Linked DNA regions of Xenopus tropicalis. The protein of the gene in region 1 interacts with the protein of each later gene in a pairwise test. Links are inferred from orthologs where the notes say so. Each region holds a gene or a part of one and is shown on either strand. Other genes may lie near its edges. The genes, in order: banp, rab3ip, tnxb, camk2d, leng1, prkab2 and peptidyl-prolyl cis-trans isomerase.

Evidence for each region.
Region 2: the proteins of banp (region 1) and rab3ip interact in binary tests that used the Homo sapiens proteins (3 or more experiments, as listed by UniProt). The two-hybrid records come from large-scale screens. The link is inferred for Xenopus tropicalis from reciprocal best matches to the Homo sapiens genes BANP and RAB3IP.
Region 3: the proteins of banp (region 1) and tnxb interact in binary tests that used the Homo sapiens proteins (3 or more experiments, as listed by UniProt). The two-hybrid records come from large-scale screens. The link is inferred for Xenopus tropicalis from reciprocal best matches to the Homo sapiens genes BANP and TNXB.
Region 4: the proteins of banp (region 1) and camk2d interact in binary tests that used the Homo sapiens proteins (3 or more experiments, as listed by UniProt). The two-hybrid records come from large-scale screens. The link is inferred for Xenopus tropicalis from reciprocal best matches to the Homo sapiens genes BANP and CAMK2D.
Region 5: the proteins of banp (region 1) and leng1 interact in binary tests that used the Homo sapiens proteins (3 or more experiments, as listed by UniProt). The two-hybrid records come from large-scale screens. The link is inferred for Xenopus tropicalis from reciprocal best matches to the Homo sapiens genes BANP and LENG1.
Region 6: the proteins of banp (region 1) and prkab2 interact in binary tests that used the Homo sapiens proteins (3 or more experiments, as listed by UniProt). The link is inferred for Xenopus tropicalis from reciprocal best matches to the Homo sapiens genes BANP and PRKAB2.
Region 7: the proteins of banp (region 1) and peptidyl-prolyl cis-trans isomerase interact in binary tests that used the Homo sapiens proteins (3 or more experiments, as listed by UniProt). The two-hybrid records come from large-scale screens. The link is inferred for Xenopus tropicalis from reciprocal best matches to the Homo sapiens genes BANP and PPIF.

The regions. Positions count from the first base shown.
Region 1 is NC_030680.2:65,883,095-65,886,594, forward strand, and holds part of banp (protein BANP), read left to right. Parts: intron 1-3,245; coding exon 3,246-3,485; intron 3,486-3,500. UniProt on the Homo sapiens protein: Controls V(D)J recombination during T-cell development by repressing T-cell receptor (TCR) beta enhancer function. Binds to scaffold/matrix attachment region beta (S/MARbeta), an ATC-rich DNA sequence located upstream of the TCR beta enhancer.
Region 2 is NC_030679.2:59,166,644-59,170,675, forward strand, and holds the start of rab3ip (rab-3A-interacting protein), read left to right. Parts: upstream 1-1,232; 5' UTR 1,233-1,252; intron 1,253-4,032. UniProt on the Homo sapiens protein: Guanine nucleotide exchange factor (GEF) which may activate RAB8A and RAB8B. Promotes the exchange of GDP to GTP, converting inactive GDP-bound Rab proteins into their active GTP-bound form.
Region 3 is NC_030684.2:73,758,478-73,762,538, forward strand, and holds the start of tnxb (tenascin-X), read right to left. Parts: upstream 2,801-4,061; 5' UTR 2,510-2,800; intron 668-2,509; 5' UTR 649-667; coding exon 450-648; intron 1-449. UniProt on the Homo sapiens protein: Appears to mediate interactions between cells and the extracellular matrix. Substrate-adhesion molecule that appears to inhibit cell migration. Accelerates collagen fibril formation. May play a role in supporting the growth of epithelial tumors.
Region 4 is NC_030677.2:69,463,113-69,467,213, reverse strand, and holds the start of camk2d (calcium/calmodulin-dependent protein kinase type II subunit delta), read left to right. Parts: upstream 1-1,301; 5' UTR 1,302-2,074; coding exon 2,075-2,136; intron 2,137-4,101. UniProt on the Homo sapiens protein: Calcium/calmodulin-dependent protein kinase involved in the regulation of Ca(2+) homeostatis and excitation-contraction coupling (ECC) in heart by targeting ion channels, transporters and accessory proteins involved in Ca(2+) influx into the myocyte, Ca(2+) release from the sarcoplasmic reticulum (SR), SR Ca(2+) uptake and Na(+) and K(+) channel transport.
Region 5 is NC_030683.2:104,890,696-104,894,258, reverse strand, and holds leng1 (leukocyte receptor cluster member 1), read right to left. Parts: upstream 2,132-3,563; 5' UTR 2,099-2,131; coding exon 1,967-2,098; intron 1,614-1,966; coding exon 1,428-1,613; intron 1,294-1,427; coding exon 1,037-1,293; intron 777-1,036; coding exon 569-776; 3' UTR 501-568; downstream 1-500.
Region 6 is NC_030680.2:118,092,817-118,096,927, forward strand, and holds the start of prkab2 (5'-AMP-activated protein kinase subunit beta-2), read left to right. Parts: upstream 1-1,311; 5' UTR 1,312-1,416; intron 1,417-3,249; 5' UTR 3,250-3,264; coding exon 3,265-3,426; intron 3,427-3,713; coding exon 3,714-3,871; intron 3,872-4,111. UniProt on the Homo sapiens protein: Non-catalytic subunit of AMP-activated protein kinase (AMPK), an energy sensor protein kinase that plays a key role in regulating cellular energy metabolism.
Region 7 is NC_030679.2:126,260,463-126,264,498, forward strand, and holds the start of peptidyl-prolyl cis-trans isomerase, read right to left. Parts: upstream 2,801-4,036; 5' UTR 2,665-2,800; coding exon 2,596-2,664; intron 1-2,595. UniProt on the Homo sapiens protein: PPIase that catalyzes the cis-trans isomerization of proline imidic peptide bonds in oligopeptides and may therefore assist protein folding. Involved in regulation of the mitochondrial permeability transition pore (mPTP).

The DNA.
Region 1 (3,500 bases):
GTTCACAGATAGTTACTGTCTGATTTTGTTAGTGTTTGAGTGTTAGTGACACTCAAATGCTCCGTGGTCTGGGCAGCTGGTGAGAAGCTAAAGCTAGGGGTCATTTCAAATCATCAAGCCAAAAATGACGTCATAGATGCTGATGCTACCGGGCTAATTATTAAACTGTGATTCAGAATGCACTGGTTTCTGAGCTGTCATATAATGGACCTGAATTAATTACTAATCAGCTTCGCATTGTGACTTTTATATTGTCAATATGCAGTATTTCGTGCGTCTTTAAGTTTAGGTAACTGGCAGCAGCAGAGAGCATGTGTTATGGATCAGCAGAAAAAAAATGATAGGAATCTACTTGGGGCATCTTCAAATTTACAGATCTTTACTGCAAACAAGCTGTAGTAGCCTTGGGCTTCTACAGAATCTCAAAAAATAAAGTGCAGCATTTCTAGTCCTTTGTTAAGCTTTAGCTTTCCTATAAATCATTTTTACATGTTTTTGTAGACACCTATTCTTCAGCATCACAAACTCAACAGATTATGGATTGTCCCATATCCCCATAAGTGTTACAAATAGGGTTTTGGGCACTGGTGCTTTATATAAAACTTTATATGAAAAAAAACAATAAACAGTCTTTTAGGAAGTATGCAAAAGTCACATAATAACTGAAAATGTAGTGCCATTAAGCAAGCCCATAAAGGGAATATTCATTAATAAACTATATTTTACTAAAACATTTGCTATTTTGTTTAGTTTTAGTCTGAGTTTAAGAACAAAAATGAATGCATTAGAAGGGATGTCGTTGAATCAAATGCAGAACCTTTGGAACAAGGGCACAGGATGCAGATCCAAAACTCAATGCCAGCAAGAGTTTATTCTTTCAGCCTAGGAACTCCTCTAATACTGAGAATTCTATACTTTTAGTGACCAACAGCAGCGTTGACACAGAGCCTGTTTAGATATTAATAATATACTGCTTTAAGTTCTCAAGTTCATTAAGTCTGGATTCTCACAGAGAAAGTTTGGCCTTTCTGAACTTTTGTAACTGTAAAATAGGTTTGCAAAACTAAAAGAAGCCTTTTTTATTAAGTAAATGCTTGATTCACTGACAAATCAGCCAAAGATATTATTTAATTGCTCCAGAGACCAGGTTTATTTATGTAAGCTAGGAACGGGTTGTTTTTATAATATTAATGCAACTCTGTGTCTTGGTAACACAGCTACCAGAAGTTTTCATATAATTCCCTGAGACCGAATATCACCCAGATTTGTAATAAAAATAAACAGCCAGGCTTTAATAATAAAATACTTAGATTCCTTGAATATTTTTTTGGGCAGGTGTTTCATTTTACTTTCTCTGTTTTGAATAATGATTGACAACAACTAAACTTGCACACTAAAATCAACTTCCCATACCTTATCTGATAAGGGATCATTATTTATGGTATACTGTATTAAAAAATGGGGTATGCCTTTAATAACTATTAGAGTTGCCACCTTCTGGCAGCAGGAACTCCGGGTACAGTTGTGGAATGAGATGTTGGTGTAAGGCATGTGACAGCAGTTGGCCGGGCTATGACATAACAACCAGCGATTGGTCGATTGCCACATGAATTAAGGGGAGGCCTGTCCAGATTTCCTAATTTAGAAAAGCAGGTAGGGGGTTTTGACCTGGAGAACCTGGTTTTTGAAAGGGACAGGTGGCAACCCTAACAAATACTTAGTACACAGTGAGCAGTCGAAAAATTAGTATATAAAGCAGAATGGGATTTTTGAGGAAATGGGGCTTTCTTAATTAATGGGGCAAAAAAGGAGCATGTTTTAACAGTGTCATGCAGAACTGTGTGATAAATTCATTCAAAATCATTTGTGACCAATTGAATGAAAGCTGAGCATGCACATTTTCAAGACTTGAGAGGCTTTATTTTTCTTTCCAGCATGTTTTTTTGAGCAAGTATAATCTTTGTTTTATGATGTCATGGAATCTGCCTTCTGGGATGAAACAGCTATTTAAAAAATATAATTATTCTTAATTATTCTTAAGAAGCAGCCTTCTTATACAAAAATGTAATTTAAAAGAAAAAAATACATCCTGATGATTTTCAATATGAAGATGTATTTTCGATAGATGAATAGATAGCTAGTAGAGCAGAGTTTAATGTAGCTCAAATTATAGGTTACTGTATTTTTTTTCTTAGATTTGTTATGTGGTGTGATGCTTTTACTAGTGGTTTTTCATGGTGAACGGTGAACATAATTTGCTTTCTTTCTGGTATTCAAGAGGCAGCTACACACTGTAGTAATCTCCCCGAAATGCCATCACAGCGGCGTCTGCGATTTACATTTTCACTGGTGGAATGGCATTTCAGGGAGATTAGTCGCCCGCGAACAGGGAGATTTGTTGCGGGCGACTAATCTCCCCATGTGCCAGAGCCCTAAAAGTTGCCACTTTTCTGAGATTTTTATTTGTCAAAATAGCTAAAAATTCAATACAAACTTTAGAGGTTTTGGATATTTGGCGCCATTATTTGTGCAAGATTTCTAAAAATACACAGTTTTTATGTGACAAGTTGAAAAATGTGTGATTTTTCCCAACTTTTCTGTGACTTTTCCAGTTCAGACTTTTTAGTATATGTAAGACATTCGTAGAAACAAGTTTATTCGAATTAAAAAAAAAAAAGTTATTTTTAGTAAATCTGCCCCCACATGAGTTTCTTTGAGAAAGTCATCAAATGTGACCAAAGCTTTGTAAGAATATTCTAAATAAATTTATTAGAACTGGTGAGTGCAATGTTATGTTATATTTAATTACTTTTCTGTCCATTTAATGTGCTGTCTGATCTTACAGTACTATAAAGGCATATACTGAGTATGTTCATAGACATATATTGTGCCATGGTTCAAATCAAATGACAAGAATCTTTCTTGGGAAGCACAATCCTTATATCTGTTTCTGTTTCAACTTAAATAACAACTCAAATAATCATATATATCTGTTGTAACAGGTTAATTTTTGTGAGAGGCATGGAATCAGATATAGTGATGCAACAGATTTTCACTATCACTTCTAAAACAATGGTTTGCATCAAATATGTATATTTTGTTCCAATCTCCAATCCATGTTGTTTATGATTTAAGTCCTACCACCTTCTTTCCAACCCTCTTCTATGTATTGTTAAATGGGAAGCCTATGTTTTGTATGCATGCTAAAGCTTTTAATGGTAATATGTACTTCTTTTGCTTTTTAGAGGATTATCCTAATGGTACATGGTTGGGGGATGAACATAATCCAGAGATGAGAGTAAGAAGTCCTATAACAGCAGCTGACATGCTGCACATCAGTACCAACTGTCGAACAGCTGAAAAGATGGCGCTTACTTTACTTGATTATCTTTTCCATCGAGAAATCCAGGCTATCTCCAACTTGTCAGGCCAGGGGAAACATGGGAAAAAGCAACTGGATCCATTAATGATCTACGGAATAAGATGTAAGTAAAGTGATT
Region 2 (4,032 bases), on another chromosome or scaffold:
GATTGTTCAAGAACTCATCTAGGCCCCTCTTAAAGGCATTAACAGAATCTGCCATTACCACATCTCTAGGAAGGGCATTCCACAGCCTCACTGCCCTCACCGTGAAAAACCACCTACGCTGCTTCAAATGGAAGCTCTGTTCCTCTAATCTAAAGGGGTGACCTCTGGTGCGTTGATTGTTTTTATGGGAAAAAGAACATCCCCCATCTGCCTATAATCCCCTCTAATGTACTTCAAAAAACATGTTATATAAACATATTCTCCATTTTACTTTGTTTCTGGATAGTCTAATATGTAAGCATATGGCTAAGCAATTCATAGTGTAAATTGTATTTGTTTTATTGAAGCTATACACCTGAAAATAACATTTTGCCTAATAAAAGAAATTCTGTTATTTGCAAATGCTTCTGTCGCTGAATGCAAAATTTGCCTTTTTCCTTCACTTCTGGAGCGCTGGTCTCATATGTAAACACAAGCTAAGCAAGGCATGGTGTGAATCTTATTTATTTTAGTGAAGCTATACACCCGAAAATAAAATTTTGCCTACTTAAAATAATTCTAAGCAACTTTCTAAAACATGTTCAGTAGTTGCAAAGTTATTTGCAAATGCTTCTGCCACTGAATGCAAACTTTGCCTTTTTCCTTCAACACTAATAGTTTATATCGTTTAAACAACGTAGAAGTTCAGCCTTGCATGCTTTATTACAAGTCAATCACTCAGCTACTACATCGTTTCACAAACCACAACCACCAGGGCAGAGAACAGAAAACCGCTTAACAGCAGCTTGACTCTCAATTGCACAGCAGGCAGCACTCTATTTCCTTCTTTTTGTAAGAAACTTCGCATTTTAGTTTTAGGGGCATTAAATTGAAATTTAACAGAAGACTGTCCCTCTTGCAAGACCTCTACGTTTCAGGATGAACCCTTGGCTTGACCCAGGATCCACAGTAAAGCTCATTTGCCAGCTCCCTGACACAGCACTCCTAGCACCCTCAGTGTGGGCAGCCCGACCTACTGCGTGACGTCACCAAAGCGCTTCCCTTGCCTCCACGCAGGTGCGGCGTACCCGTGAGCGCTCATTGGTTGGAAGGGATCGCTGACGTCATATACGCGCGTTCCTGGCTTGGCCGGTGAGTGCGCCTCTTGCCCATGTAGTTTGCACCTGCTGTTCCTGGGGGGAGCGCGCTGCGCGGGCACGGATTCGGACTTGTATTTCTCTCTCAGCGTGTTGCAGCCATAAGGCTTTGACAGGTAATAGGGTGACGGGAGGGAGACGCTTGGGGATTAGGGAGTCACACGAGCCGGTTTCTTGATAAGGGCATCGCGAATGTCATTTCTTTTGTGATTGCTCGTCCATGCTATTGTTTGTGCGAAAGAGCCCGGAGCTCGCACTTCAGCAGGTTCCTTGTATATATATGTGGCTGCCCTATAATGGTTGATTTGACCCATCTGGCGCATCGTAGCTATGTGTGCCCAAGCAACCGAGTTTTGCCTTAGGCTCACGAAACGATGCATTAGCAAGTGCAATGGAGCATAGTAGTGCTGTTCATCTGTAGGCCTCACCCTGTAGGCAGGTTAATATGTTCTTAGTGAGTAGCCTGAGGCTGTCTTATTGTTGTGGTGCACTCTATTATCTCACTACTGTATACAGCCTATTGCTGTCCAAGGATCCTGGGAGTGGTAGTCAGACACTCGAAGATGTCCTACCAAGGGCTTTTAGACAAGGGTAGTCCTCTTTTTTTTCTTTATTATTGTTGTCAGGTGTATTTTTATTTTGTCAGTACTTTATTACAGAGGACAATACTTTTTTTAAGCAAATAGCTTTTGCTTCTCTTAATTGCACCACGGTTCATTGTTAGAAAAAGTCATTTTTCCAATTGAGCTGAAAGCTATCATCTTTAGGTATCATACATACTTTCCGAGGAACAACCTGTAACCCTGCAAGTTATACAGTATAACATCAGTATTTTTTGACAGCCCAAATCTGTTAGGAGTTCATTGAGGGGGGGACAGAGGCTGAGCATAACTAGAATGAAAAAGATAATTAAACCCATGAATTTAGTTTTAATTGGGTGTGGGAATCATTCTGTTTGTTAGTGTGCACACAGTATACCTTAGGTCTCTGTTGTTTCATATATTGTTATCCCCAAGCTTTACACAGTTTGCCTATTCTGTATGCTGGGATACCCCTTTTGCCCTATAGAAATATGCCATATTATAAGTGGATTTCATATGATTCTAAGAATGTTCAATGTATTTTGGAGCCTCTTGGATAATAGGTTTCTGGATAACAGATCCAGTTACTGCTGTAAAATACAACGGAAGACTATGTTGAAACCGCATTAGTGTCAAAGCCAAAATGCTTACCCAGCTAATTGAAGACACACAGTACTAGTAGCAGCTACATGCAGTGGCTAATAAAAAAGACAATGCTGATCATTAACTGATGATTGTCTCTATGTGTGTTTTAGCAGAGGCAATTCTCAGTATTGTCTATGGCAGGGTATTCTCTGGAGTTTAGTAGCCTTGAAAAAGTAGCTGCTACTAGTAGCCCTAAAAGTATCACATTTTGGCAACTTGCTGTAATTATGTTACAAAATTAACTTTGTAACATTCTTGAATCCAGTCACATTTTTCTGCACTAAAATTGCAGAATGTTTTTATGGCACTTTTGGGAATAACATATTGTTAAAACTAGGCTATAGGATGCCCACTACACATTATTCATTTTAATTTAGGATCCTTTAAAGCTAATATCACCAGACAATTCATATCATTTACTTTTGTGGAGAAACACATAAAACCTGCCTATAGCACATCCAATTTTTTTTTTCTAAATGCCTATGTCATGTTTGTTGTTTGAGTTTAGGCTGCCATAAATGTAACCACGTAGCCTGTTTGCCCAACTGGTTGCAAGTATTGGCCTTCAGGTAGTCGATTTAGACAGACATTAATAAAATAGGAATGTGTATTAACCAGTCCATATGTACATAAAATTCGCAGGGTGGTGTTGACCGCAAATATACAGGCCCTTATTTGTCGGACCACCACAAAGGCCAGGGCCTAGAGCGGCAAGTTTTTTAGAGCATGCTGCCCATCAGCATCTGTAATTTTCCCTTCTTACAGACACCTCTGGAGCATTTGGGACTGGACATGCCTGAGATTTTGACAATTATTTGAATCTCCTGTGTCCAGTTCTCAGTGCTACGGGTGTCTAGGAACTAGCAAGCCAGCCACGTGCATGGGGAACACAACAAATACATAATATGTATTTGCATGCATATGTGCCTTTGAGGGATACCGAAGAAAGCCGGCTTAGGGGTGCACTATTTTGAAATCCGGCACTGCTCATATATTCAAGCTATGCTTCCACTTTTGTTTGGAGCAGCGCCTCAAAAAGTTAATCAATATTAAAGATGTAGCAGACTTTACACATTTTGTTCACATGACACCTCTGTGAAAGGTGATTATAGTCTTAAAAGGACAAAGAAAGCCTAAATCATTGGGGTGCCAGTATGTTGAGTATCCCCTCAGTGTATCAGGCTTAACTTTTTTGTAATTGGTGTTATGTATATGAATGTAATATGTAATTGGTGTTCTCACCAGATTATTAGACTCCACATGCCAATTAAAAGACTGATCGTTATCGATGCTTGTCACTTTGAGAGAATAATGCAGGATTCTGTCTGATATACACACATACTTAGCCTATCCTGAAAATGTCTATGTTCAGTGACCTACAAAATTTATGCAGCAGTATCTGGTTGAAAAAACAAAAACAAAAAGTAACTAGTTATTTTCTTTTCAAATACTGTAACATGACTTCAAAAAGTAAAACACATATTGCTTATTTCAACTGCTTTCTAGTTTTTTTTTATACACATTTTCTAAAATGTAAGCTTTAAAAATGAATATATTTTTCACTAAGATTTCCTAGAAGTAGTTTAAAAAAATCCATGCCACCAGTCTTCTTAATTGCTACAGCTTGACGCATTAGTTGACGTATTCATTTCTAAGTCCCAACTTAGATG
Region 3 (4,061 bases), on another chromosome or scaffold:
AGTCAAGGCCAATCCCAGAACATTGCTGTTACAGTAACCCACTTACAATTAGCATATATTTTCTGCCAATAAGAGCCACTAATACTAAAAGTAAGTAGGTGTTCCAAGCCAACCAATATTCAACTGTATCTAAGTGTTATCTTTTCCCTATACACTTTGTATATGAGCGCATGCACTCTAAATGCATCGTGGTTACGATATTGCTGTATACAGATTGCTTTCCTTAGAACAATAACAAAATAATAATTACTCATTAAGTAAAACCTGCTCCATATAATGATTTTGCTAAAAGTTAGTGGCCATATGGTAAAAGTAACATTTGTATATAGTAGTTGATCATATAATATTCAGCAGATATAACTAACTTTTCCCACTGTTTGGGAACCTACGGGTTAGAGAGGGGGATCTGCATTACCTCAGGTACAGATGTACCACCCCTGTACACTTACCAGCTCCACTCTGCACATTTCCACAACATGGAGGTGAACACTGTCCTTTTATGTCCCGAACCAACTTTTCCAAAATTTCAAGTCGCTTGAGGAGAGCTCGCACCCCTCCTGCATCTGGACATTGAGTTGATGTGGATGGAGGGGCCAGACAACCCTTGAAAAACAAAATGAAGAAGAGCAGAGGCAGGAAAGAGGGCATGATAAAGGCAGAGGAATCCCTAAGAAGTGAGAATGGAAGAACCAAAAAAAAAGGATAAGGATGCAAAGGGAGATAAACAAGTGAATACATGCAGGAAAAGCAAAATCAAGAAAAGTCAAGTTGAGGAAGTTGGAAAAGAAGAAGGTAAGAAAGGTGAGAGTGAAGAAAGGAGGGTGTGAGAAAGTGAGTTGAAGTAGAGACCATGTTGCCAAAAAGCAAAGACAGATGTGAGAAAACACAAGCAAAAGTGTGTTAAATATGAACAATTTGAGGATTTGTCAACATATATATTTTTCATTATACCGGAGCTATATGGATATGTTATCCTGTACAATATCAGTGAAGTCTCTGGAAAATATCATTCTTCTAAAATCAGTGATTTGCATTCTAACAGTCCCATGTTACCATGAAATTGCTATTCCAATAACCCTCTGCAGAACCTGACCATAAATGTATGTATTAACCCTTCCAAAGCCAGGTACACCCTGTTTCTTAAAAATGTTCAAATTCCGTACAAACCAGAACCCGTGAAATGTAAAGTGGATGTTTTTTTTCATTTATTTGCAATTCTTCTTCTAGTTTGACAGTTCCTTTGTTTAAATTAAATTATTGCCTCTATTTCACACATGTACAATAACTGAAATTACCCAGAAGCTTAACAACAAGAACAAAAAAACAAACACCTTTTTCAACCATTGGACTACAGGCAACAAAGCCTGTGTGTGTGTTTATCATATACACACTTTCACCAAAATGATCCTGAAGAAGACAAGACTATACATTTGAAAAACATTCTCAGTTTAATAGTTTAATATGTTTGTAAAGATATAATTACTCCAAAGTCTTTGGGTCAAAACAAATGGAAACAGCTGCCAATATTCCTAGTTTTAATTTTTGGTGTACAGACCTGTATTACATTATCCATGAGACAAATGTAATCTGACAAACAATATGCACTCCACCAGTGTAGTTCCAAACCAGGACATGTGCCCATCAAGTTTCATTCAAATAAAATTGACTTTACAGTAACAAATCTAATTAACCATAGAGTTTTTTTTATAGTAACATGCAACACCCGGAATTTATAATAGTCAAAAAAGTGTATACTTGTTTACTGTGCACCTGGGTGAAATTTTAAAGCAGTGATATTTATATATATATATATATAAAACTATATTTTTGTATTTGCACAAATCCTGTGAGTGCTATACTCCATGTGATGGCTGTGATGAACTATAACATGGCACCAAGGTCACTGCAATTGTTGGTGTGTGACCTCTTTAATATGTTATATATACATATAAGGGATAAGCCAAATTCTTTCTTTTTGGATCAAATCCTAATTTTTATACTAAAATTTGAAAAACCTCAAAAAATTGCTGTGAGCTTGTCATGATCACTTGTCCACAGTTTTAAAGTCACATAGGTTTCAACAAAATCCATATCTGGCAAAAACTGCTGGGATATTGCCAAATGCCTAATTATGTTTATATATATATCATGAGAGTTACGGTGCACTACCTGCCAGTAAAACATGATGGCTTCAGTTCAACCATGAAAAGCTAAATTAAATGACCAAAAATAAAAAGAGCTCTCATAAATAGTGAAAAAGGTAATTATGAAATATAAACTGTCAGTATGGGCTTCCTACAATAGACCCATTACAGTAAACTCACTGTTACATTTTATTATAAAGCACCAACATAAAATACTGTACAACAATGAAACAGCATATAAGGCACTGGACCAAATGTATTCTGCTCACAGGAACTTGTTCTTCCTCAAAATGACATTTACCTAAAGCTCAGAGAAAACCCACCCCCTTGCAGACATGGTGGGCTGAGAAAGGTTCAGCTCTTACCTTTTCAGTGAAGTATCAGGGATTGCTGCTTGCAGCCAGCTCCAGTGTGGTCTTCCCTTTTTTGCTCCTTGCTGTATTTCTTGCTTGTTCCTACAGGATGAGCCCGCCTCACTTTCAAGCAGTTTGTACTTTATTCCTTGACTCAGTCTTTCCTTGCCCTTTAACTCTCTCTGTCATTCTTAGCCATCAACCCAATTCACAAGACTTCAGGCACTTTGCTCTTCCTCCTTTCTCTGTAAGATTCTGCCCAGTTTCAGCCCGTCTTCTCTCCCTCAGAGCTGCTCTGGGGTAACTGGCAGAGAGAGAGAGTGAAACAGAGAGAAGGGAGGGAGAGATATGTCCAAATGATGATGTCATGGTAAAATGCAGATATACATCTGTAATGACATGAATTCATCTTTTCTTCCACTCAAATTTTTTCTCACCCTTTCCCTTCACCCCCCTCTGTCTCTTTTAGGTTTTCTCTGTTCATCTAATTTAGTTTTTATTACATTTTCATTCTCAGCTTCTTCTTTCAGGCTTTCATCTTCTGTTTACTGCCCACAACAATCCTTATTTTGTTCTGTTTTCTTTCATTGACATTTACAGTATTTTTTCAAATAACTTTCCTTCTGTCCCTCTGATGAGTTCTTTCCTCTCACTGTCATTTTCTTCTTTCTCATCTATACTTTTTCTATCTGTTCTTCTTACTCTTTTACACTATATATTTTAAATTGTCTCATTATCATTCTTACAGTCATTATCACCCGTCCTATTATGTCTACAATTCTCATCTATAGTATACTGTCTCTGTCATCCTTACCTATTACCCTTACTGATTCTCTCTCTTTCATCCTTGTTGGCTTTCTTACCCATTATGTATAACATGTTTTATACTTGCTCTGTCATTATTTCTCTCAGTCTCGCTTATTCTATACTTTGTCATTCTTAAACGTGTTTACTCTTTTTCTTTTAAAATGGTGTATCTTCTCTTTTATTCTCACCTATTGTATTATTTTTTTTTATATCATTCTCACTGTTATTCTCACCTATTCACTAATCTATACATTATTTTCATAGTTATTATTTACTGCTCAGGTGGGTATTTTTCATTTTCTTTTCGTTTTTCTAAATTCTCTGTCTGCTACCCCCACATTTGTCCATTAAAAATGTTCACTCATGATGACTGATAAATATTTTTTTCACCTTCCTTCTTTTGTTTTAAGGTCCCCATACACCATACGATCCGCTCGTTTGGCGATGTCGCCAAGTGAGCGGATCTTCTCCCGATATCCCCCACCTACGGGTGGGGGATATCGGGAGAATCCAGGGTAATTCGATCGTTTGGACCTGGGGCCAAACGATCTAATTATAACGGCGGGTATAGGAAAAGTCGGTCCGGGGGCCGCATCAACGAGCCGATGCGGTCCTTGATCCGTCTAGATTTTCTAACCTGCCCGATCGAGATCTGCCCGATTTCAGGCCAGATATCGGTCGGGCAGGCTCGTCGGGAGTGCCCATACACAGGCTGATTAGCTGCCAAATTGGTCCAAGGGACCAATATCGGCAGCTA
Region 4 (4,101 bases), on another chromosome or scaffold:
TTACATGGGTTTATCCTATAGGCTACAGATCTCCCACTGGGTTTAAAGCTGAAGCCGGGATAATAGCTGATCAGGATAATAGCTGATCAGATTCCCAAACCACAAAGGCCTGGGCTTAGGGAAGCATAAATTTAGGTGCGGCATACCACCCAGCCGCTCGTAAAGAAAACCTTAGTGCATCCTGTCCCAAGTGCTCTGTATGTAAGCTAAAAGGACACGCATGCGTGCGATCCTGCTGGGGGGGGAAAATGGGGGCAGCTTATGGGCCCCATAGACAGAAATCCGGCACTGAAGATAGCGCTGAGGTCTTGCTGGCTGGTATGTTTTGCTACACAGAGGTTACCTTTTTAGCCACACTACTGACTACAAGTCCAGACATGGTGCGCACCAACTCCATTGCTCTACTTTTCCACTACATTAGTAGTTGACTGCTGTCAGTTCCTCAGTGTGGAATCAATAACACCATTAGTATCACATTCACTTGCCACAAGTCACCTGTGAATATAGACACAATGCACTAAGGGAATTATGGTCAGATCCATGGTGAAGGTAATTCCTGGGTTCTCGTGTGTCAATGATATCACTTGTGCATAACTCATTAGGCTTGCAGCAAGTTGCAAAGGCGCCTGTATGGATCTAAAAGCCTTTCTGAATCAATCAATGCATGCATAGTTTTGCATCCATTTTAGCACTTCTGCTTGCTTTCATAAATGAACCCTAGCAGGCCCATCAGCATTTCAGCATGTATTTGAAATTGAAATTGAAATTGCACCAGGCAGGTACTTCTTCTGCCTACCCCTAGTCTGCGCTCTCTAGCCCCCCCCACCTCTTGACATTACAGGCAACCCCAGCAATCACTCAGGGGCAGGGGATGGGGGAAGGTGGCCAGCCATGTTGCCTAGGGTGCCTCCCTGGCTTGGCTCTCCTCTGGCACCTGTACAGACTTTGTGCCTTTTATTACATCACCCCCTTTGACTGCTTAGTATATAGTTAATATGCACACTTTGAATGCATAGCTGCTTTTACCATGACTAGTGACATGGTTCCTGTATAAAATCAATAGTTTTGACAATATACTAGGATAAATACGTTGTGTAGGCTGGAACTAACGCCCGGTAAGAAGGTAGAAATCATGAATACAAAAAAGAAATTTACTAATGGCTTGAACTGAATGTTTTTTCTTTCCACACCATTTTTAAATCAAAAATAGCTTTGCTATTAGCTGAGGAAGTTCCTAGTTTTCTCTAACGATGTTTACTTCCACCCCCAGAGCGTAACAAACAGAGGGATTTCCCGGTAAAACACGCAGGACATGATGGTGCTATGATACCCCGTCCGATATCTCTGTGGACTCGTCTGCTGTTGTTGAGTCGCTAGAGGGAGGTGCGTTCCATAGAACGGTAGGGGGGGGAGCGAGCAGCTCGTACCCACTCACTCGCACACAGAGCACATCTAACCCGCATAAAATATAACCGTGAGCTGTTCCCTCTCGGGCTGCCATTAGAGGCAGCGGGTCGGAAGCAGTAAGACATTAGCCTGCGCTTTCTGAGAAGGGTCCTAGCGGCATGACCGACCTGCAGGACGCCTTCGCGTTTTTATAGTTTTGTCGCTGTATTTGGTTCCTCTTTCACCCGATATGACACTTTCCTTCCCCAATGCGTCTTGAGATATTCAAGCTAAAAGGAGCCAGCAGCTGTTTGTGACACTGTCATTTTGCGCTACTACGTTCTTTTGTTTTACGCTGCGCTCCCCACAGGGAAGCGAAAGTGAAGCGGAGACGGGGAAACGCTGCAAATAAGGCAAAGCACTAAGCACTAGAGAGCAGTGACCGTGTGAGCCGACCCTGCTGCGTGAAGAGAGGCGGGGAGGAGGAGGAGGAGGAGGAGAGGGGCACAGGGAGGAGGGAAAGCCGAGCATCCTCCCCAGGCTCAGGTTAGGAGCTACTCTGCGCCCTACTGCTGCCACCTCGGGATCCCGCCGCTGCCGCTTCTCTTGCCTGTCATTGCGCTGCTGCGCGTCCCCTAGCACCCCGACCGTGCACCACCAGCGGAAAAAAGCAGGGGGAGGAGGCGCTATGGCTTCAACTACTTGCACCAGGTTTACGGATGAGTACCAGCTCTTCGAGGAGCTAGGAAAGTAAGTAGCAAGAACAGATATGGCTTCATTGTCTGTGGCCCAGCAGCGCCTAACCTGTAGCCCTCCAGCCTTGGGGTCATGGGAGTTATAGTTTGTCAACACCTTAGGGCTGCTAGTTGGGCATTCCTGGCTTACACATTAGCTCTTTAATATTATAGGATGTATGTGATGTATATATACACATTATATAATAAATATATCATTTGTGTTTATGCGTAGAAATGGTCAGTTGTAGTAACTGCCCACTTGTGAAGGGCTGGAGGGACAGCATTATAGATGCCCATTTTATTTTTAACATTTGCCCAGAGGTGAACTTGTGGGAGTTTGGAAGAAATACATCACTAAAATATATATGCGCCTTGTCTCATTTGTATCTTCCTCTAATGATCTGTATGGCAGACCATTTGCTCAGTAATTGTGTCAGAATCATAACAAAAGTTACACAAGCTTAGCCAGTTAACATGATTCTCCTCTGCCCCAGCTGAACACCCTGTATTGTGACTCTGGTGTTGAAACGGTTAATTGCATAATTCATTTATTTATAGTATATGTGGGAAAAAGTGACGCATAGACGCAGCCTGTGCCCAAGTATGTTTGATTGTGCCTATCTACACTAAAGGCTCGTGCCAGGAAATAGTCCATCAAGTGTACTTTGTTATCAGCACTGCCAGTGGAAGTATGCAGTTTGAACAGCACATGGATGAAAACTTGTGTCATGGTAAAGGGCTACAAGGAGCAGCAATTGAGGTTACAGCTGAGGGAATCCCTACCCTGTAGATTCTTTAAAGGTACACTCCATCCAAAAATTGTCTAGATAATGGTAAAACAATGTGTTTATCCCTCTGTTCTCTGATTCTGACTCAGGGCCCTGGAAGACATGGATATATGTCATAAGCGTTAATTCTGTGCATTTGGATCGACACAAGTAAAAAATAAACATTATTTGCAGCAATCCAGCTTAAACACAGGAAATTGCCTTCTTTCACATTTTCCCGCGATTAAGCCGGATTGGTGCAAGTAATATGTTTTTACTTGCAATGATTCAAATGTTAGGCAAGGGGAAGGCATTTTCACTTGTTGACCATAGTAATGCATATTTACCACGGCTGCCAAATCTTCCTATGTGCCAGTACCCTAAAAGTATCTTGCTTTAGCTACATTGTTTCAGTAAGCATAACCAAAAGTGCAGAGAATATAAGCAGCCAGACTAGGGTTGCTACCTGTTCAGTATTTTATTGACCTTGGTGGAAAAAAATATGCCTGAGGCCAATGTTATTAATAGGAAAGATATATAAAAATATGGTAAGGTTGGCATTTTTGTTTTTGGAATCAAGACAGATGCAGCTTTCAACAGTCCCTTTAAAATAATAGCTTCAAGTCTCTTTAAATTATATTTTCTTTTATTTTTTTTGGGAGGTGGAAATCCCCTATAACAACAGAGGGTTTATACAAAAATAGATGCCATGCACGGAATGTTCAGCAATGAGAAATGCTGTAAGGACAAATAGCCTAGTGCTATAAATAGCAAGCAAAATCTTAATACACTGCTGGGGGGTGAATATTGCCTGGCAATACAGTGTAAATGTAGTTGGCCAGAGCTTCAACCAGTGGCTCGGAAACACAGTCTGGATACCTTATATTTCTCAGGGGAAATGAGGGAATTCTTCCAGCTATCATTGCTGGTGACTCACACTACAGAAATTCAGGTCAGTGTGGAAACATCTTGCTCTCCTAAGAACTGATTAAATTGCATCTTTTTATGCTTTCACTGTGTCTGGCCACTTGAATTTTCTCAAATTTGACCTTACTCTTTTATCTATCACTATAATATGTATTGCCCTAAACATAATGACACTCCGTTTAAATATCCACTCTTGACAAAGAGCTCATGGGAATCCTCCATCCAGAGCCAGTTACAAGAGGCATTTACTAGTGTTGAGAAGGAAAGACCATTTCGGTTTTCGT
Region 5 (3,563 bases), on another chromosome or scaffold:
AAGCATATTTCTGAAAATGTATACTTATGTTTGAGAGATTTCATTGTTGAAAAGACAGTAATCACTAAACATGCCAGACCTCTCTATCCCTGTGTAGTTCACAATCCAAATTATGTGACTGTTTTGGCAATAACCTGACACTTCATGTTTTTCCCCAGTGCTTTTGTTTCATGATTAATCTTCCTTGTATCAAACAACATTTTCTTTAATCTCATGTAGAAACAGGCATAAGGAAAACTCCTGTTCTAGAATGATTTTTCTGCCTGGTATAAAGTAGAGCACCAATTACAGGAATCCAGTTTTATATAATTGCAACCAAGAAAAAGCCTTGGTGTATGTAAGCACTGCTGTACAACCTATGTAGAATTTACTTTCTATCACACCTGTGTGGTTTAAAAATGGGTAATCCTCTCCTGTCCTGCTACTCAGTGCAGACGTCTGGCATTTTGTAGGGGCTTGTGGTCCATTAACCCAAGTGCATTAGGACATTCTACAGCAACTTGGAAATATATACATTTTATTATCAGAGCTATGAGATGTAGAAATATTGCCATTAGTTTCTTTAACATCACCGCTGTGGCTCTTCTCGCATTTTAGGTTTTCGTGCCAGCTGTGGGTTGAACTGAGAATTGTAACGGCGTGTTCGGTCATCCATTTCTTGTTCTGGTTCTGCAGACTCCTTTCTCCCTGATAGCAAGGCTTCAGCCCGAGCTCTCTCTGCTGCCTCTCTCTTGAGACGTTCCTGCCTTAGTTGCTCTATTGATGGCTTGGTGGGTCTACAAGACAAAGAAACAAATCACTCTAAATCATGCAGCACACTCCTACCAAGACCAAACTTTCTAGAGGCTGGAGACATTGCCTACATTACTACTTCTGCCAAATATTTACATTGTGAGTTAGCTCATTCAGCACAGAACAAAAGAACTAGAGAGACAAAGGCAGTGGATTTAATTGAGCACTGGGATCCATGGGCTTCTAATTAAAGCAGCAGGAATACCTGTAGACTAGCAGCAAATTCCAATTTTGTCTAACCTACCTGCTTTCTTGCCTGGATTTATGTTTGTTTTGCTTTTCTTCTTTAAATTTCTTCTTTTCTCCAGATTTCTTCTGCAAGTATTTCTCCATGTCATGTAAAGGATCTAACAGGTTTTTCACCTTTTCATCCTTTGCGTTGCCATCTTCGGCCTTACAGTGGCGACCAGGGACTTCCTGGTACCATGGGCGACTGGTTTGGGCTTCTGCAGCACTTTGTCCTAAATATGTAAGAATGCCCAGGGTTTTTTCTTGCCGCTCCTGTGTAAATTATCCATAAAAAACAAAGCAAAACCCACCTAAGAAATCAAGTTAAATACAAATAATTTAAAATACAGTAAGGGAAAAGTTGTCAAAACACACAGCCTCTCCTGCAGTAAAGTAAAATAACAGACCTTTTCTTTACGTTTCTCCTCTTCATATTCTTTGTTGCCTTTGTTTGTTCCTTTGCCCTCCTCCACTTCTTGAAAAAAGTTGATGTGGCCAGAATCCTTGGTGAGTTCCACCGAGGAAGTCCCATCACTCCTGTACTCTTCTGGCAAGGAGAGACGAGCCTTCTTACGCAGGAAATCTGTCCGAGCCTGAAACGGCAAACACACATGTGCAACCAAGACACCTTCCGTCTAATGTACCTGGCACCCTCTGGCAGCAGTGTCTCCATGACTGAGTACCAAAGAATAATGTAGATCTACTGGAGATGCCAAGAGTATTACAGTTGAACCACTGCCCCATGGAGAACATTTGACCACAAGGCCAGTGTCAAACGGTATACCATTCCGCGCCTTTACAGAGATATGCGCAATGTGAGCTTGATGCAAGAAACAGGCGCAATCGCTCTCTGTGTGCAACATGCACATTTTTGCCTCTGTAGTATATAAGGCCTAGTGTGCCTTTAGAGCCGGGGTCTATAGTTTCACTGCAGCGCTACTCTCACCTCTTGTTCTGCGAGTTCCACCCGTTTCCTACGCACTCGCTCCTCTTCCGCAGCCTGTGCCTCGTCCTTCCTAACGCGGGCCACGTTATCCTTATTACGCACATGCCAGCTCTTCTTAGGCAGGATATTCATGGCAACTGTCCTGTCACAATTCCACCAAATAATCCTGCTTTAACTTTCAACTCCGTGATTCCTTCCGGACACAAATCCAGACGTCACAAATCTCATCTCGCGAGATCGTTGCGTCACGCCGCATAACGTAAGCGCGGGGGCGTGGTACGTACGAACCTTTGGGGGCGGGAGTACGTCCGTGTCACATAAGGATAAGCTGTTGGTTGTGGCATGTCACTTGAGTCCGCTTGCTATTGTAATTGTCTTTGCTTGTAGCGCCTACTTCTGACAGGGAAAAGTCACTGCGTTCCCAGTCTTTATGATTTTCATTTAAAAAAAACATTTTTTTTTGCTTTGTTTAGTTTTAGCTTGGGCCAGGGAACAAATAAAATAATTTTCTCAATTTGACCAGAAAGGAAAGAGGGGAAACTAGGGATGGGAGAAATGTAGAAACAGTTTAAAACAAGGGCTAATTTAGAAGAATTAAAATGGATGAAATAAACCAAAACTAATCTTGAGTTTTTAGGATTTTTTTCATGGCATGGGAGAATGCTAGTATATTTGTGCAAACAAGAGAACTAAGAGCTACTGTAGGCACCATTCATACTTACCAAGCACTTAATTGTAGGCTGTGAATTGATTTTTCTTTTTTTATATCCACAGTGCCGGGGCAGGAATAAGCGTCTGATGTGCAGACTGTGGAAACCAGATTGTTTGCAATTAATGGACAAAACAAGGGCTGATTTGGGACAAGACTTCCTACTCCTGCACCATTTTAGGAAGGAAGGAGTTCAAATAAGAAACAATGGCAGTGGCACAAGGGTTCCACTTCTTTTTTGTTCCTAAACTGTGGATGATGGGAGGGTTTAAAGCAGTGATCTCCAACCATGTTGCTCCCCAACCCCGTGGATGTTGCTCTCAGTGCCCCCAAACCAGGTAGTTATTTTTGAATTCCTGACTTGTTGTCAAGTTTTTGTTGAATAAAAACAAGATTTACTACCAAATAAAGCCTCCTGTAAGCTGATAGTGTGCATAGAGGCTGCCTAATAGCCAATCACAGCACTTATTTGGCTCCTCCATGAACTTTTATGGTGCTTGTGTTGCTCTCCAAGTCTTTTTACGTTTGACTGTGGCTTATGAGTAAAAAAGGTTGGGGACCCCTGGTTTAAAGGTACACTAAAGCCTGCAGCACTGCTCAACCAAACTTTACTCAGTTGTTCCTGGACTACAAATCCCAGAACAATTTAACATATAATGAAGGGTGAGCTGTAGTCCAGTAACATCAGGGGTTGTATTCTTAAAGCAATATTGAAACATTTCCAAAACCTTTCCCCAAATCTCCAGGGCCAGTGGCTGCATTAAAATGCAAAAAAAATTCTCCAATGAGAATCCCAGCTGATCTGTGTAACTCTGACTTCCTGTTCTTTGTTCCTGCAATTGGAGTTGGGAGCAATAAGTACAGTTTCCCAGCACTGAACAAGTCTGT
Region 6 (4,111 bases), about 52 Mb from region 1:
ACTCGCTCCATGGGTCCTTAGCCTAAAGGTTCATACCTTTATTACTCCCCCTGATGGTAGCCCTGACATTTCCACTTCTTCATTTACTGATGCACCATACACCATGGTGCATCAGCTGCTTTGTTTTTTAAACCTACCCATCCATAACTGGGCCACCATCTGCGCACACTGAAAATCATTTCATATATGGTTTTATCAGTATGTATATGGTCAGCTTTGCTGGTGTCAGTTACAGTACTTTATGTGGAGGCTTGCCATATTAAGTGGCATTGCTAGTTTTATGGTAGCGTAGATGTTTCGCTTTAACCTACCTCCCCAGCTTTCCAGGGGCAAAAGATAGATACAATCACACAGGACATATTACAGCAGTTGTTTTAGATATTTACATCAGAGATTTCCAAAAAGCTCATTGGAGAATTTCAAATATATAGACTGTAAGCTCTACGGGGCAGGGACCTCCATCCTCTTGTGTCTTTGACTCTTAACTTATTGCAACTGTATTTATCTTGTATTTATTGTTATACTTTGTATTTATCGATTATCTTAATAACCCCAGTTTGTATTAATGTATTCTACTGTACAGCGCTGCGTACATAAGTAGCGCTTTATAAATAAAGATATACATACATACATACATACATACAAATATTTACTTTAGTGCTACTGTTTATTTATGTTGTAAACTGAACGCTTTTTTCTTTACATACCTACTCCATTAGTGGTATGTAGTGTGACCAACTGCACTGGCTGCTTATACTCTAGCACCAACCGACAGAGAGTCATTTTCACAATATTTTTGTACACTCGCTATTGCGTATAGCGGGGAGGGCATTTCCCGGACACAATAATATGTTATACATTGTATTTATCTATTAACTTAACCCCCTGTTTGTATTAATATATTCTACTGTACAGTGCTACGTACATAAGTAGTGCTTTGTAAATAAAGATATACCTACATACAAACAATAAGGCCCTGTTTCTGTGCAGAGCAGGTTATAATGGGTTAACATAACCCTAAATACTCAGAACAACCCACTTGAACCGGAAACAATGACTTGCACAACTAGGCGTATGTATTAAAAGATGATTTATATAATTGTTATATAGCACGTTGGAAACGAAAACTAAATCGCCTTGGGGGATTTTTGATCCAGTGCTTATAGGGTTACCCGTGCCACAAGCCCTACTTTCCCCTCAGCTTCCCTCCACTAGATGGCAGAGAGATGAATCGCTGATGCAGGCCTGTTGCAAGTGGTGCTGATTTGCCCGGCTCGTCTGCCACACAATCTATTTGCTGCGTGTGACAAGCGGCTGTGCAATGTGTCACGGTTAGAGCACAGCTGAGAGCTATTCCCGGCATTGCACAGGGGCTACCCCGCTCACTCCAAGGGAGAGGGACCTGCAGCAAACGGGGTAAGTTTCCTTAGCATCCTACACTACATGTCTGTTAGTAAATAGGGTACATCGTTCTGTGTAATTATTACTCAGCAAATGACATTAGATGCCAGCGCTGGGCGCAGGGCATTATGGGAATATTTCCTTGTCAAGTTGTTGTTGTTTCCCTCCTGGCTTCCTTGCTTTATATTTCTATTCACTCTCATGTAGTTCCTAGGTAACTGCTCTATAATATACAGGTCCTTCTGATGTGTTAATATTAAATAAGTCCTGGGTGATGCCTATTGATATATGTATTGTACTAATAAAAGGAGCAATGGAATAAAGTAGCCTTTGTGGTAAGCGGAATGGAGTTAGAGGGCAAAGTAATTCTGTATCATGGCACTGCTGTTGCCATAGTTATTATACACAAGCTGCTAAATGAACTGCAGTGCTTTGCTCTAAGGAGCTCTGGGTAATATGTGGTAGCTGCTGTGTTTGTATATAACTAAACCCCATATTCTAGTCCTTGTGTTGTGCCTGTCACTCTCTAGAGATGCTGCTGGCCAGTAAATTACTGCTAATTACTGTGTCCTGTTTCCCATTAGGCTTCCTGCCAGGTGTCGGATTTACAGACACTGCGATTTTATGTCCCAGAATAGTGAAGAGGTTATTACTGTATATTTGAAAGTTACTTAGTACATTTTGTTTCATTATGGAAGATTCGTATATTTGGGTTCACATTTCCTTTAAAACACAAGCTCCAACACGTGCTCAGACGCAGCAATTTCGGCCACACTCACTAAAACCTATTACCAATATGCTGTTATCCTGTGCAGAGAACTGAGCCCAAGCCTTGCTACTGACGTGAGATTGCCTCAACCTTTAGTTCCTGTGGAGATCCCATTCAACAAATAGAATGGAACTGGATTTATAGAGCTGCTTTTTTCTGGGGATACAAAGTACATCTCCAAAGTTATGGCAGCTCTGTTTGGGTGCAATAACTGGAGCAGCAAGGTCACAAGGATCTAATGCTGGGATACATGAATAGGTCTCCATCTTGAGATCAGATGTCACTGTCCTTGATCTCATGAACCAAAGAGCCAGCTACATATAGAAAAAAACTATGTAATGATATAAAGCAAAAAAATAAGGAAAAAATTAATATACAAGGCATGCAAAGCTAGTATGGATTAGGGATACAATACACATATACAATTGCTTATTGGTAGGAGGCAATAAGGGAAGGGCCATTCCTGTGTGAGCTTACAGTCTAAGAATATTTCCCATTTTTTGTAAATGATAAAAGACAAAAAACTGTAGTGAATCTGTAGTGAATAGCCTTATTATTATTTATATTTTTTATTATTATTATTACTACCCGGTCCCTGCCCCAGTTGAGCTTACAGTCTAAGTTCCTATCAATGATATCAGTAGCCAGTTCATATTTTTGGAGTGTGAAAGGAAACTGGGGTACCTGGAGGAAATAACACAAGCATGGAAAGAACATACAGATCCCATGTGATAGAGCCCTTCATTCATTCCAGTAAAGGAGTGAGAATGAGTGTTACAGTTACCCATTGCTTATTTTTCTTTTTTATTTCTTAAACTCCAGGCACTCTGAGGCTGATATATATCATACTGAGGTCATTGTCTCTCCTTGCATTGACTTGCATTGCACATTTCTAGACACAGAAGCTGTGTAAAGATAAACCATGCTTTCTTTGCATAGCTTAAATAAGATATATGATTCAAAATTAAAACAATAGCCTGAGCCATATTAACCCTATTTATTAGTTGTACTTTTGGCTCTCTTACATATTTCCCCTTCATATAAAATACACTTTACACCACAACTTGTTTGCTTTGCAGTGGCCTGAGCCAAATATGGGTAACACAGCAAGTGATCGCTTATCTGGAGATCGGCATGGCAAGTCCCACCGTGCAGATGGAGCAACTGGGGGACACTCTACTAAGGAGCATGAGGAAAACAAAATCATGGTTGGAAGCACAGACGACCCAAATATCTTTAGTACTCAAGAATCTAAGGTATTCCAATGAACTGAAAAGCTATATGAGACTGGAGTGGGAATGTGATCTTTTAATGCCATAGGGGTCATTTACTATGACCCGAATGCTAGTGTTAGAAGGGATGCAAAAATACATTCCATAGTGCTTCTTCTAAAGAGTTTATTATATGTGGACCTCCTGCTGTTGAACTACATTTCTGAGAAATCCCTTGACACAAAAGGTAGATAGCAACAATAGCTGGAGACCCACAAGTTATTGTTTCCCGAGCTATAAATCTATTTCTAATTTACATTTTGGCAATGCAGCACCCTGGTGACTCAACGTGGCCCCAGGAATCAGAGGATCCTGGAAAATCAGCTCAGCAAGGTCGTCCCACTGTAATCCGTTGGACAGAAGGTGGCAAAGAAGTCTTCATATCTGGGTCATTTAACAACTGGACTGCCAAAATTCCACTGATTAAAAGGTAGTACAACTTACATAAAAATAGGCATATATTGGTTTTGTATTTTTTAGTTTACATGATTGTCTTACCTGTAACTCTCTAGCTGGGCAGAAGTCATACTTTTTAAACATATCAGGGAAGGCTTAATATTTTTTTCCCTAACAACAGGTAGCTTTTTTATTTGCACAGTGGCACCTGTTTAAATGAAAGCAGCCCAGGGGCATGTATACCTATAGAAATATTTATTAACTTAAAAGCTAT
Region 7 (4,036 bases), on another chromosome or scaffold:
AAGCACAGGCTCCCACTTCTGGTCTAAATCTCCCATAATCCTCATGACTGATCTGTCCACAAACAGCAGATAAAACACTTGCGTTATAGACAAGTCAGGAGAACAGGGAGCCATTATGGGCAAGAAGACAGTACCTTAGGCAGGTAACTCCCCAATGGGCTTCTATAGGGTAAGGCAGAAAGAGAATGTGCCCTGCGCCCCTACATCACAGGGGTTCCTTTCAACTTCTATCAAGTGCTGCCATAGGATGCTGTTGGAGGTCCCTGATTTTGGCAAGTTCACTGAACTTGTCCTGTCACTGATGTCCCTGATTTATGTCAAATCCTTTAGATCATATATGTCAAACACAAGGCCCGGGGGCCAAATCCGGCCCACCTGACTGTTTTATGTGGCATTTGGTGAGTGTGTCTGGCCATCCAGCCTGATCAATTTCCATTTTCTCACATAGTAACTATGGGGTATATTTACCATGCTGTGTAAAAAGTAGAGTGTAATGTTGCCCAAGGCATCCAATCAGTAATCAGATTTCAACAGTAACAAACATCTATTGGCTGCTATGAGCAACATCACCGGTAATGCCTTACTCCCCTTTTTACACATTGTGATAAATATACCCCTTAGTATCTTACTAAGTATATTAATAAAATTTGTCCCGCGACTTAGCCTGTGTTTTAGATTTCCTTATGTGATTGAGTTTGACACCCCTGCTTTAGATGGACACCCCCCCCCCCCATCTTTAACATGGTGTTGCACCTTCATGTGAGTGAATATGACACAAGCAGGCTTAGGAGCATTACATGTTGGCGTGCAGCTGAATGAAACAAAGATAGAAGAAATGCCTGGGCCCAGAGATGGGATTGGATTCCCTCTGGCAGGGCAAGGGCGTCTAAGCAAGGTACTAAGCATCTGAGCGATTATCTCCCAGTACATCCCCAACTGGGACGGCCACTACAAAGGCAAGAGTGGGGATTACAGGTGTCTGGAATCCATCCACCCCCTGCATTCCCGGAACAGAAATATGCAATGGGCTATTTGAAATATGAAACATTAGCCCCTGCATGGCCATGTGTGGCTCTGTCTGGGACACCAGGGCTGGCTCCTCTATGCAGGGCGCTGTCATGTATTTCTCAGGCATTACAGACAAAAGGGATAGAGAAGAATAAATAGAAAGAACAAAACAACAAGCATTTGGACCCCCTGCTCTTAGCAAGTCAGTTTGGTGGGACTGGCAGGTTATGGTGTAGACTGCAGATCTAGGGGTGCTAAGGCCTCACCACAACTAGAAGGTGCAGTTCAGCAGCACAGACTCAGCTAAAGATATCAGGATCTTGTAATTGATAAAAGCTAATTGCTGGTTGGTTGCAATATGCAGAGATTTACTCCAGCCAAAATGTGGATATAGAGTAAGTCTGGTTCTATGATGACGCCATATATTTCTATATAGAGAGAAAAGAAACAATATATATGGAGTACACATGCCTCAACCAGCCTGTCCCACCGCTACTGGCACCAGGGTCAGGGCAGGTGACGGGCCCCATGGAAGGACTGTGTATACTTGGGGACAGTGGCCGTAACGCCTAAACTGGAGATAGAACAGGCTCCAGCACGACTCGGTGGGATTAATAAGGTTTAGAAAGTAAGTCTTCTGTTTAATCAGCTGGCCGCTCATCCAAAATATCCCACCCATACACTTGCATGGAGAAGCGAGGTATTTGCCCTGTTAGCATCGCCTCAGAAATGGACTGTGGCCCTGGATTTGTCACATCAGCGGCTCTGCGCTCTCTGCATATCAGGACATTAGTCTGAGCTGTGCCAGCATTCAGGCTGCTGGGTGACAATATGGGCTCCCTGCTGGCTGTGACAGGGACACTTGCCCATGGGCTGACATTCACATAGGGTAGATGGATGATGCTTGTTTCAGTTTCATACCTAAACAACATCATATTACAATGTCACTACATCTTGCCTTATTCTCCTGCATACTGTAGATGGGACTTGCAAGCCCCTCAGTGGAGTGCTGAGAGCTGCAGTTAAACAACAACTGGAGGGTTACAGGTTAAACGACTGAGACAATTTTCAATTGGTCTTCATTTTTTATTACTCATGGTTTCTGATTTATTTTGCCTTTTGTTCAGCAGCTCTCAAGTCTGGATTTTCAGCAGCTATCTGGTTGCTGGGGTCCAATTTCACTTAGCAACCAGGTAGTGGTTTGGAAAAAAAAAACAGAAATACAAATAGAGGAGGGCTGAAATAGAAATAGAAGTAAAAAAAAGTAACCATAAGACTAAAACTGTAGCCACACAGAGTAACAGTTTGAGGGTCGTGGGGTCAGTGACCCCCATTTGAAAGCTGGAAAGAGTCAGGAAGAGGAAGGCAAATAATTCAAAAACAATAAAAATGAAGACCAAATGAAAGCTTGCTAAGAATAGGCCATTCTATAACATTCTAAAGTAACCCTGAAGGTGAACAAGCCCTTTAAAGAAACGCTTCTGTACATATCAGCTATCAGAGCCCCTCAGTGAAAACATAAGATTCCCTTTAAAATCCTGTCGGATTCCCACCCCATACTGGTGCATCTCAGTGGGACATACTTACCTCCATCACTATCCGACCAAGGGGAATATCATTTGCGGATATGTCAAAAAACACTCGTTTGTTCTCCATAGCGAGGCTGCCCAGCTTGTAGAGTGAGGGGGATGCTATAGTGGGGACGGGTGGAGCCCCTGTCTTATATATACCTAGGCTTCCCCCTGCCCTAGCTGTCAGTCAGCCCTAGCTGTCAGTCACAGGGGAAAGCAGATAAGGCTCAGTAGGGCAGCCTGGCCAAAGCACTGGAACCAAGAATATTTGATACCAGCTGAGTCTATTCCTCTTCTAATCCTGTAGGATATGCTGTGGGTAGCACCAAATGCTATGTGATTAATGTGGGGGGGAGCACAGAATGAACACAATGCTATTTCCGTAACATCTCCTAGCTGGGCAGCGTTTCTTGTCCTCCTGATGGTATCAAGCAAATCACTGTGACCTCGGCTACTGTCAGTCCCCTCACAATCCAAGGCAAACCCCCAAAATAACAATGGCTAGGAGGCATTTCCCATTGGCCACCTCACTGCTCATAACAGCGCTGTGGGTCTTACGTCTCCCCAGCAGTCAGTCCCATTATATTTCTGTGGATGAAATTTGAATGTTAAAAAATCTAACACTCTTGAAAAGAAATATGCAATGGACTGTTAGACATACAAACCCAGGCTCCAGCCATTAACCCTCTCCCTCTTCTTTAATTGCTTTTTATGAGGTTAGTAAGAAGCTGGACAGTGGGGCTGTCCAGTTTATCAGTGGAATCTATTCAGATTTTGCCCCATCAACTACTGTACTGGGTCCTGTTATTCAATTTATTAAAGGGATTCTGCATGATTTTTGTGGTATAGTTTTAACTATATTACACTGTTCAGTTTGCAAATAATTCACTCTACCATTTAAAATTGTATTATTGGACCAACAAATGTATTTTTAGCTGTAATATTTGTTGTGTAGGCGCCATCTCAGTGCATTGTGCCTGAGTCTGAGCTTTCAGAAGGAGCCAGCGCTACACATTAGAACTGCTTTCAGGTAACCTATTGTTTCACCTACTCCCATGTAACTGGAGGAGTCCCAAGCCGGACTTGGATTTCTTACTATTGAGTGCTATTCTGATACCTACTGGGAGCTGCTATCTTGCTCCCTTCCTATTGCTCTGCTGATCAGCTGCTGGGAGGAGGGAAGGCAGAGTATAGCAGGTTTTTGCTTTACTAACACTATTAATATAGGTATGGTCATGTGATAACATAGGTGTGGTTTCAAGTGGGTGTTGTTTAAAAAAGGGGAGTGGTCAAAACTGGCTTCCATTATCGGCCCTCCATCAAGTAGGCCAGATAAATTCCAGCCCTCGGTACCACAGAAGTTGGACAGCACTGACTTAGGGGAAGGTATTGTACATAATGTATCGGTGTTTGCAGCCCAATTAGTTCCATCCAGGATGTGGCATCTTTGCAGCAGG